Tribolium castaneum: one gene and its partner. The main gene of each other region encodes a partner of the protein of the gene in region 2 in a complex. Links are inferred from orthologs where the notes say so. Each region holds a gene or a part of one and is shown on either strand. Other genes may lie near its edges.

What was found.
Region 1: Pdrg1 (region 2) and Pfdn6 share a complex: the UniProt entries of both Homo sapiens proteins name them as parts of the PAQosome complex. The link is inferred for Tribolium castaneum from reciprocal best matches to the Homo sapiens genes PDRG1 and PFDN6.

What each region holds. Positions count from the first base shown.
Region 1 is NC_087394.1:25,216,192-25,220,039, forward strand, and holds Pfdn6 (prefoldin subunit 6), read left to right. Parts: upstream 1-2,265; 5' UTR 2,266-2,402; coding exon 2,403-2,466; intron 2,467-2,511; coding exon 2,512-2,828; 3' UTR 2,829-2,903; downstream 2,904-3,848. Other genes in the region: glu (structural maintenance of chromosomes protein 4), read right to left, coding at 1-88, 736-876, 923-1,110, 1,158-1,262, 1,316-1,492, 1,538-1,729, 1,775-2,002. UniProt on the Homo sapiens protein: Binds specifically to cytosolic chaperonin (c-CPN) and transfers target proteins to it. Binds to nascent polypeptide chain and promotes folding in an environment in which there are many competing pathways for nonnative proteins.
Region 2 is NC_087396.1:22,906,425-22,910,104, reverse strand, and holds Pdrg1 (p53 and DNA damage-regulated protein 1), read right to left. Parts: upstream 1,132-3,680; coding exon 843-1,131; intron 795-842; coding exon 628-794; 3' UTR 564-627; downstream 1-563. Other genes in the region: Datp (bis(5'-nucleosyl)-tetraphosphatase [asymmetrical]), read right to left, coding at 10-326, 371-476; Prosbeta5 (proteasome subunit beta type-5), read left to right, coding at 1,205-1,339, 1,386-1,778, 1,826-2,137; Pgi (glucose-6-phosphate isomerase), read left to right, coding at 2,304-2,563, 2,703-3,011, 3,064-3,337, 3,389-3,628. UniProt on the Homo sapiens protein: May play a role in chaperone-mediated protein folding.

The DNA of each region.
Region 1 (3,848 bases), on a different chromosome or scaffold from region 2:
TTCGGCTTGTAGTTGGGCATCCTTTTTATCAGCCGCATTGAAAGCATCCTTGAGTTGATCCTTTTTCTGTTGCAACTTTTCATATTTTCTAGAAAAAAAATTGTTAAAACAAATCAATGTTTCAATAGCTATTTAAGTGAATAATACAAAATTGTTTAAATAATTTTTTGAAGGGATAAAAGCTCTTTATTCACGTATAGCATTCAATATTTTTAGAACGTTAAATCACAATTACATTTCAGTTCGCTTTTTGAAAACCTAAATTTTAATATTTAAATGAAAAAGATGAATAAATAGTTATTTATTATACAAGACCATAAAGAGATTGTTTATTTACGATTAAGTTCAAGAATAACAAAGACTTATTTCACGAAAATAATACTTTGATTTTTCTATAGCAGAGACATTAAGTTTAAAAAAAAAAGCTATTGTTAATCCTTAAAATTAACATGTTGGAATTTGTAACTTTATAAATTATTGAATACAATGAATTTAAAACAATTTATGTACGCTTGTGGTAAAGTGCTATTTTATGTACTCAAAAGAATTGATAAAGAAATAATGTATCATCTGATACAGAAAAAACGGTTGTGTGGCAGAGTGAATAAAGCGTTGCTATAAATATTTTATTTATTCTTTTGATTCATTTTATTGATTAAACTATTGTTTTATTAATCAGATTTAATTTATAAAATGAGTATTTTATTAATAGCATTGAATAAACGATTTATTTACCCAGCTTCTTGCTTCAAAATTTTCTCTTTTTCAGTTTTTTCATCTGAAATGGTTTTCAATTCTGCAATTAAACCGTCACGACTTTGTGTTAACTTCGCCTTGTCTTCTTCCACTTCTTTCACTTCAGCTTCTAAATCATGTCTGGAAAAAACGGGTTATAAATGGCACTCATTCCAAACAAACTCACAATTCTTTCTGATGCAAGAAATTCTTACAAACTGCAATTTTGTTCTCTGTTTTCAGAAAAGTAAGCGCTTCTTCCATAGGTCCCTTGAGTTGTTCCAACTGTTTTTCAATCAATGTGAGTCTGTTGAGTTTTTCAGTGCGCAAATCCGACAAATATTCTATTCTCTCATTTAATTGCTCCAAGGGTTTCTACAACAAATTTTTTTTTTTTGTGTTAAACTAATTAAACTTCTTACTTTGTATCTGTGTGTTCCAATGATATCTTCCAGATATTCCAACATTCCTATTTCGTTTTCATTTGCTCCTTTACATTTCATCATTGCGATTTCCTCAACTTCGCCCTAACAAAATTTCATTCAAAAATAAAGCACTTGAAGGAGAAATAATCGCAAACCTGCAAAATCAGAAACCTGTTAGTGTCGATATCAATTCCATGCCCCTTCAACAATTTCCCAATTTCCTTAAATTGGACTCTTCGTCCATTGAGCTCATAAAACGAACTGTTGTCTCTATTGGCAGTCCTTGACACGACAAATTCACTACCTGGAACAACCTCATACTCTTCCCCGGGCTAAAAACAATCACTTATTCACAATTTCATAAAATTAAGCCTTACCTTATCTACGATTTCACAAAAATGCACCGCCACATTGCAAGACTGAACATTAGGATACCGTTCAGAATTGTGAATCAACACTGATAATTTTTTGCACCTCATGCGAGTGGCCCTATATCCAAACACAAACAGCATCGAATCAATGACATTGCTCTTGCCGCTACCGTTGGGGCCAATGATGGCATTAAAACACTACAAAACACTCATTGTCTCTTGTCCAAACCGTCACAAACGTACCTTAGAGAAGGGCCCCAAAACTACATTTTCAGCGTAACTTTTAAAATAATTGTTCACGATCTTTGTGATTATTAAGCGAGTTTGCGACTTCTCGACGTTCCTACGTTTCAAAGGGGGCGGAATGTAAATATCATCCACATAAATACCCTCTTCGTCCGAAAAGTTCAAGTCTTCTTCGACTTGGCTGTTGTCTGGGTGTTCGCGCTTCTTTCCTCTGTTTTCCGTCATTTTTACACATACATAACATACAAGAAACTGCGGAACACAAGCATAACACAACTAAACTCGTTGAAAACACAAAGCACGAAGAAATTTCAAATTTTAACGGTTATGTTGCGTTGTTTTGTTTAGGGTGAAGTTAGTTGCATTATTTAATTCATGTATTAATACGGGTCGTGTAATAAGTGTAAATCGCCCCCTTATTTTCAGTAACTAACTGAGTTTAACGAAATACAGGATAATTATTCTTTTTTAGAGCGAAATAAATTTTTTGTCCTTAGTATATCTAGTTGGTGACGTAGAAATCCCTAGACGTGTGGGTGGTCGGCCTGTTTGATTTTGACGTTTGCCCAAAAAGGAAAAATTAAGATACACTTTTATATTTACTCCAAGATTATAAAACCGAGCAATGAGTGAAGATCTGCAAAGAAAAATCCAGTCGGAGCTGGACAGTTTCAAAAACACACAAAAAGGTACAATAATCTGGTTTTTTGTCCAACCTAACCAAACTTTTCCAGAGTTGCAAAAGGCGATTTCAACGAGACAACAATTAGACAGTCAGTTAAACGAAAATATGATTGTTAAAGACGAATTAGAAATCCTTCCTAAGGATGCTAAAGTGTACAAGTCCGTTGGTCCAGTCCTTATCAAAACTGAACTTGTTGAAGCTAGACAAAATGTGGGCAAACGAATGGATTATATCAAGAAAGAGATTTCGAGGGTTGATGATTTGATCACTTCGATTGAAAAGAAGCAAGATGTGCATAGGGAGGCGCTCCAAAAGCTGCAACATCAGTTTCAACAGGCGCAAGTGAAGGCTGCATTACATGCTTAATTTTGCGAAAAAATCACTTATTTATTAACACGTTTTGTAATACGAAAGAATAATAAAAATCTCGTTAACGCTTTATTTATTTAGTCAATTATCCACTGTTTCTGTTCAACCATGCTACAATGTGTTCAGCTTTACGAAGCCCTGTATACGTTATGGGATAGCCCCCTTTAAACAGTCTCAGTGCTGGAAAACCCCCAATTTCTTGTTCTCGAACTAATGCCTTCTCGACTGTCGCGTCCACTTGTCCCAGTTTAATTTTTGATTGTTGTTTCTCAAGAATCTTGCACACTTTTAAATACTCGGGGGCAAAAGCCTTGCAATGGCTACACCACGGCAGATAAAATTTAACCATTAAAAGTTCGTGATGACTGACCGCCTCTTTAAAATTAAATTGGTTCAAAATCAAAATTCCGTCTTCGGTGGGAAATTCATCTTTTTTACCACCCCCAAGAAAGGAAAACGTGGAACTGATTAAACCAAACGCCGACACGAAAGGGTGCAACATTTTGTGTAAAGTTAGCAGTAAGAAGGCCCCTTCAGCACACAACAGATTTTAAGCATTTTGACCTTGTTTTCAAATATCTCGAAAAATGTTAAAATTTGAAGGGAGCTGCCTTGTTTTTCTATTGCTCCGCTTCAGCACAAAAATGAATACGACTTCAGAGTCCTGTTTCACAAGGTTAACGCCTTTAAAAGAAAAACAGTACTTATTATTAAATTATTATTATTAAACTAATAATTTTAAAGAACATCAGGTAAAAAGGAATTGACGTTTAAAATCCGCGCAGTTTTGAATGTCAATTGTCAAATGTGCAAAAGATTGGTTAGGTTAGCCAAATTTTTAAAACGAAGTTAAAATAAATAAACAAATAATAACAATAATGAATATCCTCGACACGGTGTTGTGCACATCGAAAGCTGAAAAATATTCAAGCAATTTTAAACAATTCAGCATTGATGCATTCACTCTCAAATTGTTCAATGAAGAAGATTTAAAAATCTTGGGTATTGAGGAGGAAG
Region 2 (3,680 bases):
TAACAATAATTAGTTTTTGTTGGAACGTATATAATTATCGAAAAACTGGAGCGACTCTTGGAGGTCGGCGTATTTTGCATAAGTGCAAGCGTCGTCGAGTTTCAACCACTTGAAGTCTTGGTGCTCCTCTGATAATTTCACCTCAGCCTTGGGGTTTGTGAGTTCGGCAAGCCAGTAAATAACTTTCTTGGGTTTCCCCTTTACGTTGTAATTTAAAATTTTCTTCACATCGTCGAAGATTTTCAAATCTTCCTGCTTCAAACCGGACTCTTCCATCGTTTCCCGAAGGGCAGTCACCATCTCAGTCTCACCAGGGTCCACATGCCCTGACAAAACATTATTATTTTTGAAAGGAAAAACTGAAGGTTACCTTTAGGAGGGGTCCAGTGGTGTTCGCCATACGAAGTTTGCAATAAAAGATACAAAATATTATCGCAGGCCTTTTTATAAATCACAAAGCCGGCCGCAACTTTCATTTGAAATTTTACGTAAATCGAATTAAAAATTAAAAGGTGAGGTTAGATTCAACCGGTTAAACTGTCAGAAGTGTCAAACAATAAATTTGAGAAACGTTTGTATTTACAATTATTTAATTGTGGACTTGGGACTGACAAAATCTTAATTAATTTACACTGCACCGAACGCTTTATGTAACGCTTTAGCCTCTGCCGAGGAAATGGGTTTCAAGGTGAAGCCCTCTAACCTTGGTTCATGTTCCAAATCCCTTAATTTATGGATTTTGCTCTTAATATTTTTATCCAACTCTAAAATATCCTTATCAGCGTTTGCAATTTCTAAAAAACTTTGGTCAGAATATTGTAAAAAAAATATTTTTTGCGGACCTGTTTTTAAAATCTCCTTACATTCACTAGTCGGTCGTTCAATAAAAACTGAACCGAGCTGCATCCAAGCCCTTCGGTCCTCTGTGCCCTCCAGGGCCCTCAGGGCTTCCCTAAACTTATTCCTGGAATTGGACAAATCCAACTTTGTTTCTTTTTCAGTTAAAATGTCTTGCGCTAGAGTTTCCACCTCGTATAAGTATTGAAACGATTTCTGGTTTTGCACGTCTTGGAATTGGGACATTTTCTCACAACAAGACGTAACTTTACACACCATAACCACCACCATCATCCATTTGACATTAGAGGTTAGGTGCTAGTTGTGTTTTCGCACCGTCATTTGAACCAAACAAAACTGCCCCAAAATGGCTTTAGCCGAGATTTGCGGAATGTCGGACTTCGACACCTTCAGACGCGAAGCCCCCTTCGACAACGAAATCGCCAAAATGAGCAACAACTTCACCCACAACACTTTGCTCAGCGTACCCCCCTATTCTAACGTAAGTAGCCCCTTGAAAATACCCCCAGATAACAAATTTGTGACAGCCGGCCGAGAACCTGGCCTACTTCTCGAAGGACGAGTCAGGTCGGGACATCAAAATCAAGTTTGACCACGGCACCACCACGCTGGGGTTCATGTACAAGGGGGGCGTAGTGCTCGCCGTGGACTCCCGAGCCACGGGGGGCCAATTCATCGGCTCCCAAACCATGAAGAAAATCGTCGAAATCAATGATTTTCTCCTGGGGACTTTGGCCGGGGGCGCCGCTGACTGTGTGTATTGGGACCGCGTCCTGGCTAAGCAGTGCCGCATGTACGAATTACGCAACCGGGAGCGGATTTCGGTCGCAGCCGCCTCGAAACTGATGGCCAACATGGTGTATAATTACAAGGGGATGGGGCTGTCAATGGGCATGATGCTGGCAGGATGGGACAAAAGGGTATTTATTTGAACAAGTTAGACCGCTTGATCAGTGTTGTTGTTCAGGGGCCCCAGCTGTATTACGTGGATTCGGAGGGGACCAGAACCCCTGGGAAAGTCTTCAGTGTTGGCTCGGGCTCCATTTATGCGTTTGGCGTCCTGGATTCGGGGTACAAGTGGGATTTGACGGATGAGGAGGCGTATGATTTGGGGCGCCGGTCGATTTACCATGCCACCCATCGGGACGCCTATTCTGGTGGTATCGTCAGGGTGTACCATATGAAGCCGACCGGCTGGGTGCATATTGATAACAACGACTGTATGGACTTGCACTACAAATACCAGGACGAGAAGTTGCAGGAAATAAATAAGGTTTAGCTTTGTAATGAATTAAATTGAATAAATTTTTTTAACATAGTTGGCGTTTGTTTTTCCCTGTCATTCCTGTCATTGTCACTATGACGCATCCAAATTCAAGTTTAATTAATAATTTGCGGTAAGTGGATTGATTAATTAAAATTAGTTGTGAGAAATCAATAATTAGATGAGAGTTTCTCGTCTGAAGTATGTAATTTGTATTTATCACACCGTGCGCTGCGCGTGCCCAATCGGCGACGATGAAAAACACAAAACGATCGCCAAACAATCGAAAGGCGTGACTTTGACATCTGACAGCATGGAAGTCGGACCCTTGACTTCGGAGCCAACTTGGCAACAACTCCAAGATTATTACAACAAGAACGCCTCAAAGCTGGTGATTAAGGACCTTTTCGCCCAGGACCCGAACCGCTTCAACAACTTCAGGTGAGTGTCAAGCGCGTTTCATTGAAAAATCGCCCGGAAAATTGGAAAAGCCGAGTGACCTCTACGCGTCCTTGCACTGGAGTTTGTTTTCACTAACCGGAGGCCACTGAGATAATATTATTGTTTGATTTTTTTTCAGCTTGAAGCTGAAAACGCCCAACGATGGCGACATCCTGGTCGATTATTCGAAAAACCGCATCAATTCCGATGTTCTCAAACTGTTGTTTTCCTTGGCCCGCGCCCGCAAGGTCGAAAATGCACGCGATGCAATGTTTTCCGGGCAGAAAATCAACTTTACAGAGGACAGGGCCGTACTGCACACGGCTTTGCGTAATCGCTCCAATCAGGCGATTCTAGTCGATGGGAAAAATGTGATGCCGGAGGTGAATGCGGTCCTGGAGCACATGAAGCAGTTCACTAATTCGGTCCTGAGCGGGCAGTGGAAGGGGTAATTAATTCAATTATTGTTGCATAATAACAGGTAATTTTTTCGCTTTCAGTTACACAGGCAAGCCCATCACCGACGTGGTGAATATTGGCATCGGGGGCTCCGACCTGGGCCCCCTTATGGTGACCGAAGCCCTGAAGGCGTACGGTCGCGGCTTGCGAATGCATTTCGTGTCGAACATCGACGGTACGCATTTAGCCGAAGTTTTGAAAAAAATCGACGCTGAGTCTGTACTTTTTATCATTGCTTCGAAAACATTCACAACACAGGAGACAATAACCAATGCCACTTCGGCCAAGCAGTGGTTCTTAACCCATGCTAAAGATGTAATTTGCTTGCAAAAATGCAATTTTTTGTTGTTTTAACTGGGTTTTTAGCCTGCTGCTGTTGCTAAACATTTCGTTGCTTTGAGCACAAATGGGCCGAAAGTGAAGGAGTTTGGCATCGATACGGCCAATATGTTTGAGTTTTGGGACTGGGTTGGAGGTAGGTATTCCCTGTGGTCCGCTATCGGGCTTAGTATTTCGCTGGCGATTGGGTTCGAGAATTTTCTCCAGTTGTTGGAAGGGGCGCATTATATGGATAACCACTTCAGGTCGGCGCCCTTGGAACAGAACGTAAGTATCGATTCCCGGCAATATTGATTAATTACGAACCAGCAATACTTGA